Linked DNA regions of Caenorhabditis elegans. The protein of the gene in region 1 purifies or fractionates together with the protein of each later gene. This does not show direct contact. Each region holds a gene or a part of one and is shown in the gene's direction. Other genes may lie near its edges.

Region 1 (3,755 bases):
AATCCACGGCGACTGCAGTCCTCGAGAAGCTGAAAAATTTAGTTTTTCTTATTAGGTCTCCAAATAAGTTCCGGGTCAAAAATCATAACTTTGTTCACTGCGTATCGATTTTTATGAAACTGTGGGAATTTATGTTATCAACCATGATCTTTCATTTGACAATAGTCACAAAATTTTTTGGCCGTCCGAAGTGCCCTAACTCGGAGCCAATGTTTTCAGGCATTTTTCAGATCTCGCTTCTTTTACGCTTTGATTTGAGGTTTGTGTGCGGATTTAGCTTTGTTTAGTACACAATGTAAGAAAACAAGAAAAGTTTAGAAAAAAATCCGTCCAAAAAAAAATTTTTTTGTCGGTCGTCAAAAAATGCTCAAAAAAGTTTTTGTCGAAAATTCTTGATTTTTTATACAAATATGATGTAACCATGTGCAAACTATTTATTTTGCACATGGTTACATCATTTTTGTATGAAAAATCAAGAATTTTGGACAAAAATTTTTTTGAACATTTTTTGACGACCGACAAAAAAAATTTTTTTTTTAACGGATTTTTTCCAAACTTTTCTTGTTTTCTTACATTGTGTACTAAACAAAGCTAAATCCGCACACGAACCTCAAATCAAAACGTAAAAGAAGCGAGATCTGAAAAATGCCTGAAAAATTTGGCTCCGAGTTAGGGCACTTCGGACGGCAAAAAAATTTTGTGACTATTGTCAAATGAAAGATCATGGTTGATAACATAAATTCCCACAGTTTCATAAAAATCGATACGCAGTGAACAAAGTTATGATTTTTGACCCGGAACTTATTTGGAGACCTAATAGTTTCAGTTACTATTTTTTGCCCAAGAACATGGCTTCGCCAGTTTTAATGTGTGTACCTTTAAAAAGTACAGTAACCCAGTTTTTTTCAAAAAGTATAAGAATAGGCTACCGTACTGCTTAAAGGTACACATATTGCTGTGAGACTGCAATTTTAAGTTATTTTGTGCGTGACGAGACCTTTTCTTGACTCAAACATTGCAATTACGTGAATTAGCTTACCTGTCTAAAAATCTCCATATCGAAAATCTTCAGTGAACACTTATTTGCAATTTTAACAACAGTTGTTGAGTGAAATCCATTGATATAATTACAATTACTAGATTGTACGAATATAGCTGAATCACTTTCACATTGAGCAAAGAGTGAGCCATTGCTACGTACGTAGGTTAGCTTGACACCTGGAATTACAAAAAGTTTGAAAATTTTCAATTTTTTAGTCATAGTCTTGCAAAAATTATGCGCCGAAGTACGGTACCCAATCTCCCGAAAATCAGGTTACTGTACTTCTTGAAGGCGCACGCGTGTTTTGCTCGGCCTTGATTTGAAAGTAATTCGTTCGTGGCGAGGCCGTGGGTGCTCTTACCGTTTCCAATATGTCTTCTTGTATTTTCAATAGTTGCATTTCGATTTACATTCGAAAACAGTCCCAGGCTAATTTTGCTTCCATTGATGCATGGATCAGTGAATCCATCGATAGTTATAGTTGTTGAAGACACTTTAACCTGTTCTCCGACTCTTGTATTCAATTCATAATAGCTAACAGTTGCCCAGAATTGTTCTTCCCAAACTTTATCGAATGGCACGAGACATGTTGGAACTCCTGGTGGAATGTCGAATTTCTGAGAAGTATCCATTTCCTCAATTCCATTTGGATTGTATTGATGAAATTGGTTGGCTCTAGAAAATTATTTATTAAATCCCTAATTAGAAAATATATTGATAATATTTCAACCTTTTTTTCTTTTCGTAACCTTTTCCCTCTCAAAGTTATTTTGGATCCAATTTTATTTACAACTTGCGACGATACTCCGGAATTCCACCGCATGCTGTTTATCGTAAATATTGCCTACTTTTCTTATCACTGAAATTTTACATCATTTTACCAATTTTTCTTCATTCTCTTTGAATTCTCAATTTTTCTAACTTAATCTTAACTTATATCATTTATCTATTTATTATTTTGTAGATATAATGGTCGAAACGACTGGAATCAGCGACCAAACGAAAAAAGTGCTGATCGGTGTGGCAGCTGCAGCGACAGTTGCAGGTGTAGGATACTTGGTATATAAGAGTTTTGGAGGTTCAGACGTGAGTTTCTAGTGTACAATGATATCAATTTCAAAACTAATTTCAGCTGGAAAGGGACTTGGAGGAAATAAAAGCATTGGGAAATTTGAAGTTTAAAGAGAAACAATACGATTCCGCACTAGAAGCATTCACAAAAGGAGTCGAAAAGGCCGGACCAAACTCTTCTGATCAAATTGTCGCAATGCTCTACCAAAATCGTGCAGCCTGTCGTGAAAAGGTTGGACACAGCCCTTTTGATATCCTCAACGACTGTATGGCTGCATTGAAAGTAGACAAAAAATACACCAAAGCATACTTGAGAGCAGCAAAAGCACTTAATGACGTCGGAAAGAAACAGGATGCTCTGGCGTGTGAGTTTCTGAAGATGTTACGAGAAAAGTATCAATTCCTGTTTTTAGATCTTCTTGCCGCGTTCACTTTGGATTCTAGCCTGAATAAGACGAATTTCGAATTCTTTGGAAAGCTTCTTGCTATAGAACCCGTAAGAGCCTAACAATTTCTTAAAGAAACTCAACTTTTTATTCTAGATGTCCGACTGTCACATTGGAAAACCACTCAAAATCGAAGATGTTAAGCCACAGCCAGTAGCTTTGTTCAGAATTCAGCAGTGGTGTGATACTTGGGATATTCTTGATCTTTTCAAAACAGATCTCACCAGATTCGAACCAGAAGTGCTCAGTGAAGACCAGAAGTAAGCTCTAATTCTAGATATACAGTAAAAATAATTATAAATTTCAGACAATACCAACTTGCACTGGAAAAGTTCAAAAAAGGAAAATACGAAGAACTGATTGATCTGCTTACTGAGGAAAACAGCTATCCTCCGGCAATGATCTTGCGTGGAAAAATGCTAAGCTACAGTACTGATCCTAACGAGGCAACGAGATATATCGATAAAGTTGGAGCAAAAATTAACGAACTGATTGGATCAGAAGAGGATGAGGAACGCAAAAAACTAATGAGAGATGCTTTCGATATTCTCAAGATTGAGCTAATGTATACTATGGCAGATTTGGATAAGTTAGTTTTTTTTCTTGATTTTCCAAAATATTTCCAGGTCTTGTCTAATTTTTTCTAATTTTCAGATTCCTGGAATCAGTTCCAAAAGACGATAAGGAAAGACTTTTCAAACTTTATTCGTTTGCATCTATTTTTGTGGTAATTCGATTAAATCATTTTTATTCTCTAAAAATATGGTTTCAGTATAATGGATGTGTTCTCGATACAGCAGTGACGAATCATGAGCAACAAATGATGGCGGATACAGTAAATTTAAATTCATAATTTTCTTATTTATAATTATTTAATTTTCCAGAACAATGCCAATAGACTTCTCACAGAAGCTGAAAAGAACGGAACTCTCACTCCACATCTTTCCATGATTGTTACATTCCTGAAGTTGTGTACCAGCGAAGACTACGCTGATGTTCATCGACGAATCCGAGAAATGGAAGAACTCGCAGAGAGTAGATCTACTCATTTCAATCTGGTTCTTATGTCCAAAGTATATATGATGACTAATAATGAGGAGAGCTCGAAGAAGTTGCTCGAAGAGGCTGCAAGGATTACTACGAGATATTTGGTGCCAAGTAGGCATTTGCAGACTGCGTAAGTTTAGATTTTAATT
Region 2 (3,453 bases), on another chromosome or scaffold:
GGCGTCGTCACACTCATGTTTATTATAAAACAGCGGAACTTTATAGCGATTTTGAAAGGTTCCTTTCGTTTTTCGGTATGATTTAAATTTACTTCTTTACTTTACTTTACTTAGTTTGAATTTCAGATGACACGTGCAATTACCATATTCCTCTTGTGTTCTCTTAGTGTCTACGTGGCAAGTGATCAAATTATGGTTGGAGCACTTCAGAAGATTTTCCCGTATGCTGCGGCGGCGAAGGTTAAAACGGTGAGTTGTTGTTGATGTATGGATGTATTTTATTATGAAAAAGTAATGAAAATTCACTAAAAATTAGCGAAAATTCAAAAGAATCGTTTAAAAGCCCGTCAAGTTTGTTGTATTGTACGCAACTTATTACACACCGCGGCTCTCCATTTTCCTCTACGCTCTTAAGACAGGCTCTCCGCCGTGTCCTCGGTAGTATAGTGGTGAGTATCCGCGTCTGTCGCATGCGAGACCCGGGTTCAATTCCCGGCCGGGGAGAATTTGTTTTGGAACGGCTTCTTCCGATAACTTACTTTTTTTCAGCTAACCAACACTGTAAATAAGCAAAAAAGTATAGCCAAGGCGAAAGCAGTGGTGAAGAAATGGGTGCCGAAGAATTGGGTGAGTTTATAACTATACCTCAGTTTACCAATAAACCTGTAATTTTTTATTCAGAAAGCCACAAAAGTCAAGCCAGATGCCAAAAATCCCCTCTCAAAAAAAGGTTATGCAGAGAAGAAGGCGATGACCTTTATAGACTACAGATACTCCCTTATAAAGTACATCAATTATCTTTATAAACAGGCAATCGCCACCAAATACTTGACCAAAGAGGAGGCAACTAGTGTGAGTTTCCTTCAAAAATTTTAAGGCTCCAGGGCCACTTGGAGCAAAGTTACAGCTGTTTGTAGTTTTGATTGTAGTTTTGATAGCGCGGCGCGGATACGCAGCGGTTGCGTTGCGGCCGCGCCGCTGTCGGCTTAAAAACTTCAAGCCGGTATATCTCTGCTCAAAATTAGCGTAAAGCTTCAAAATTTTCAGACAAAATTCAGAATACCTAACACATTCAATAAATGTGTCTCTTTTTTAGATGAGAACCTTGTTCTGGGCTGCTGACGCCAAGGCGAACAACAACTACATCGAGACAACGCAGACGTTCATGGTGGAGGCTTCTCAAAAGGTATGAGACCTCTTGTTTAAAAATTCGATAGAATTTCAAAGTTTTCAGATTCATAAGACCCCTTCAATCGATCAAGCTATGGGCGAATTGTCTGGAAAATTCGCGAAGGCTAACGCTAAAGACAACGCTAACCTACAATGGACTCTGTGATATATTTGTAAAGGAATAATGAAGTTGTTCTTTTTGGTTTAAACATCAGTAAAGACTGCTAGAATAGTTATACAGTGGAATTTTTGATAAATTTGAAACTTTGAATTTCGAATTTAAAATTTGCTGTTTTCCATAACATTTTGAAAATTGATGCATAGATTGATGAGGTTAGAGTTGAGCCTTACTTTAGTAGTTTGTTCAATGCACTATGGCTTGCACCAAAGTTGATGGAACATGATCGTTTCCGTCAAACGTGATAGCTAGCACATTATATAAACTGTGTAAATAACAGTGATTCATTAATAGTAGCATGCGGAAATAGTTTTTTTTTTTTTTGAATGAGAATACATACAATGATGTTTTATTAGTTTCGTAGGATTGATCGGTAGAAACTTCCGTATATGACGTTTACGCTAAATAGATATTTTACATAATAAAATATTACAGTAGTTCACTACATGTATATGTTTAAAGTTTAAAATTAGATTTACTTAACGTATTTCCTCAATTATTCCTGACAAATTGTGTGTAGTCTTGTTTAAAATAATGCATCTCATTGTATAAAAAGTATGTCAATTGTTCTAACTAAAAACTACTTTCATAACTTTATTTTTCATACTTTGTCCCATCATACGATTGGACTTACTGTCGGATTAAACATGGTGGGCGTCAACTGTTATAAAGAGTGCACGTATACAGCGATTTTGAAAGGTTTTTTGTATTAATTTTCGGTGCGAATTGGATTCAATAACTAGTGAGACTTTCAGATGACACGTGTCATTTCTCTGTTTCTCCTGTGTTCGCTAAGCGCCTACGTTGCAAGTGATCAAATTGTGGTTGGAGCACTTCAGAAGATTTTTCCGTATGCTGCGGCGGCCAAAGTTAAAACGGTGGGTTTCAGACTTTAATTCAACGAGAAAAGGTAACTTTGATTTCATTTTCAGCTAACTACCAATGTGAATAAACAAACCACAATAGCCAAGGCAAAGACTGCAGTGAAGAATTGGGTGCCGAAGAATTGGGTGAGCAGCATACTTACAACTAAGGCTTCCATAATTCCAATATTTCTAGAAAGCAGCAAACGCAAAGCCGGATGCCAAAAATCAGCTCTCCAAGCAAGCCTACGCACAGAACAAGGCTCTAACCTTCATCGACTACCGATATTCTCTCAAAAAATACATTAACTACCTATATAATCAGGCAATTTCCACAAAGTACTTGACTAAAGCTGAAGCAAACAATGTGAGTTTTCTATTGCTTGTCAGGGTCTGAACCTAAAATATAAAATTGTTCCAGATGAAAACCATGTTCTGGGCTGCTGACACCAAGGCAAACAACAACTACACCGTGACATGCCAGACATTCATGATGGAAGCAATGCAAAAAGTACATTAAATCCTTGTTTTGAAATCTGAGAATTATATTTTTTAGATCAAGAAGACCCCAACAATTCAAGACTCTGTGACAGATTTGACTGGAAAGTTTGCGAAGGCCAACGCTAAAGACTATGCTAACCTTCAATGGACTCTATAGTTTTTCTTACTTCGAAAAATGAAATATTGTTATATTGTAGGAACAAGAATATTGAACAATCCATACATGCCAAGTAATTTGCAGTGTAGTTTTATCCGCTTTAGTACATTATTGTCTATGTAAATAAACCCTTTCAAATTAGTTTTCAGGTTCGAACATAATCTTTTTATTGCACTTTGCCTCATCATGTGATTGGATAAGCCAGCGGGCACACTCTCCACGAATTCCAGAACTCCAGGACCGCAATGCACAAAGTTATGAGCTTTCAAAAACTGGAGGGTGTGCGACGCGGCCGCGTCGCGGTCTACCTCGCCCAAGTTCACGTCCATAACTTGGCTCCCAGTGGTCCAATTGAGCTGAAATTTTTAAGCACATAATAGAATTATTGATCAATCTTTCCATTACTTCAGTATACTTGGAAATTCGAAGTTTTCGTAAACTGGGGTTCGCTGAAATTCGAGTTATTTACAGACCCAACAGAAACTGTGTTTCGTAGCACAAATATTATATGCAATAAAACTCGGAGATTCTGAAAATGTAATAAAACATTTAATTAGATGTCTTGCTGATAACGGGAAAGATGA

The links.
Region 2: the proteins of tomm-70 (region 1) and Y54G2A.32 fractionate together in Caenorhabditis elegans (co-fractionation; one large-scale study listed by BioGRID). This does not show direct contact.

The regions. Positions count from the first base shown.
Region 1 is NC_003281.10:8,753,002-8,756,756, reverse strand, and holds the start of tomm-70 (Mitochondrial import receptor subunit tomm-70), read left to right. Parts: upstream 1-2,006; 5' UTR 2,007-2,011; coding exon 2,012-2,128; intron 2,129-2,174; coding exon 2,175-2,478; intron 2,479-2,526; coding exon 2,527-2,609; intron 2,610-2,655; coding exon 2,656-2,819; intron 2,820-2,866; coding exon 2,867-3,148; intron 3,149-3,213; coding exon 3,214-3,286; intron 3,287-3,331; coding exon 3,332-3,394; intron 3,395-3,443; coding exon 3,444-3,736; intron 3,737-3,755. Other genes in the region: Dwarfin sma-2, read right to left, coding at 1-29, 1,040-1,218, 1,404-1,717. UniProt on the Caenorhabditis elegans protein: Receptor that accelerates the import of all mitochondrial precursor proteins.
Region 2 is NC_003282.8:2,801,905-2,805,357, forward strand, and holds Y54G2A.32 (DUF148 domain-containing protein), read left to right. Parts: upstream 1-2,103; coding exon 2,104-2,226; intron 2,227-2,280; coding exon 2,281-2,358; intron 2,359-2,407; coding exon 2,408-2,578; intron 2,579-2,632; coding exon 2,633-2,722; intron 2,723-2,767; coding exon 2,768-2,869; 3' UTR 2,870-2,901; downstream 2,902-3,453. Other genes in the region: Y54G2A.44 (DUF148 domain-containing protein), read left to right, coding at 1-75, 127-249, 550-627, 682-852, 1,097-1,186, 1,235-1,336.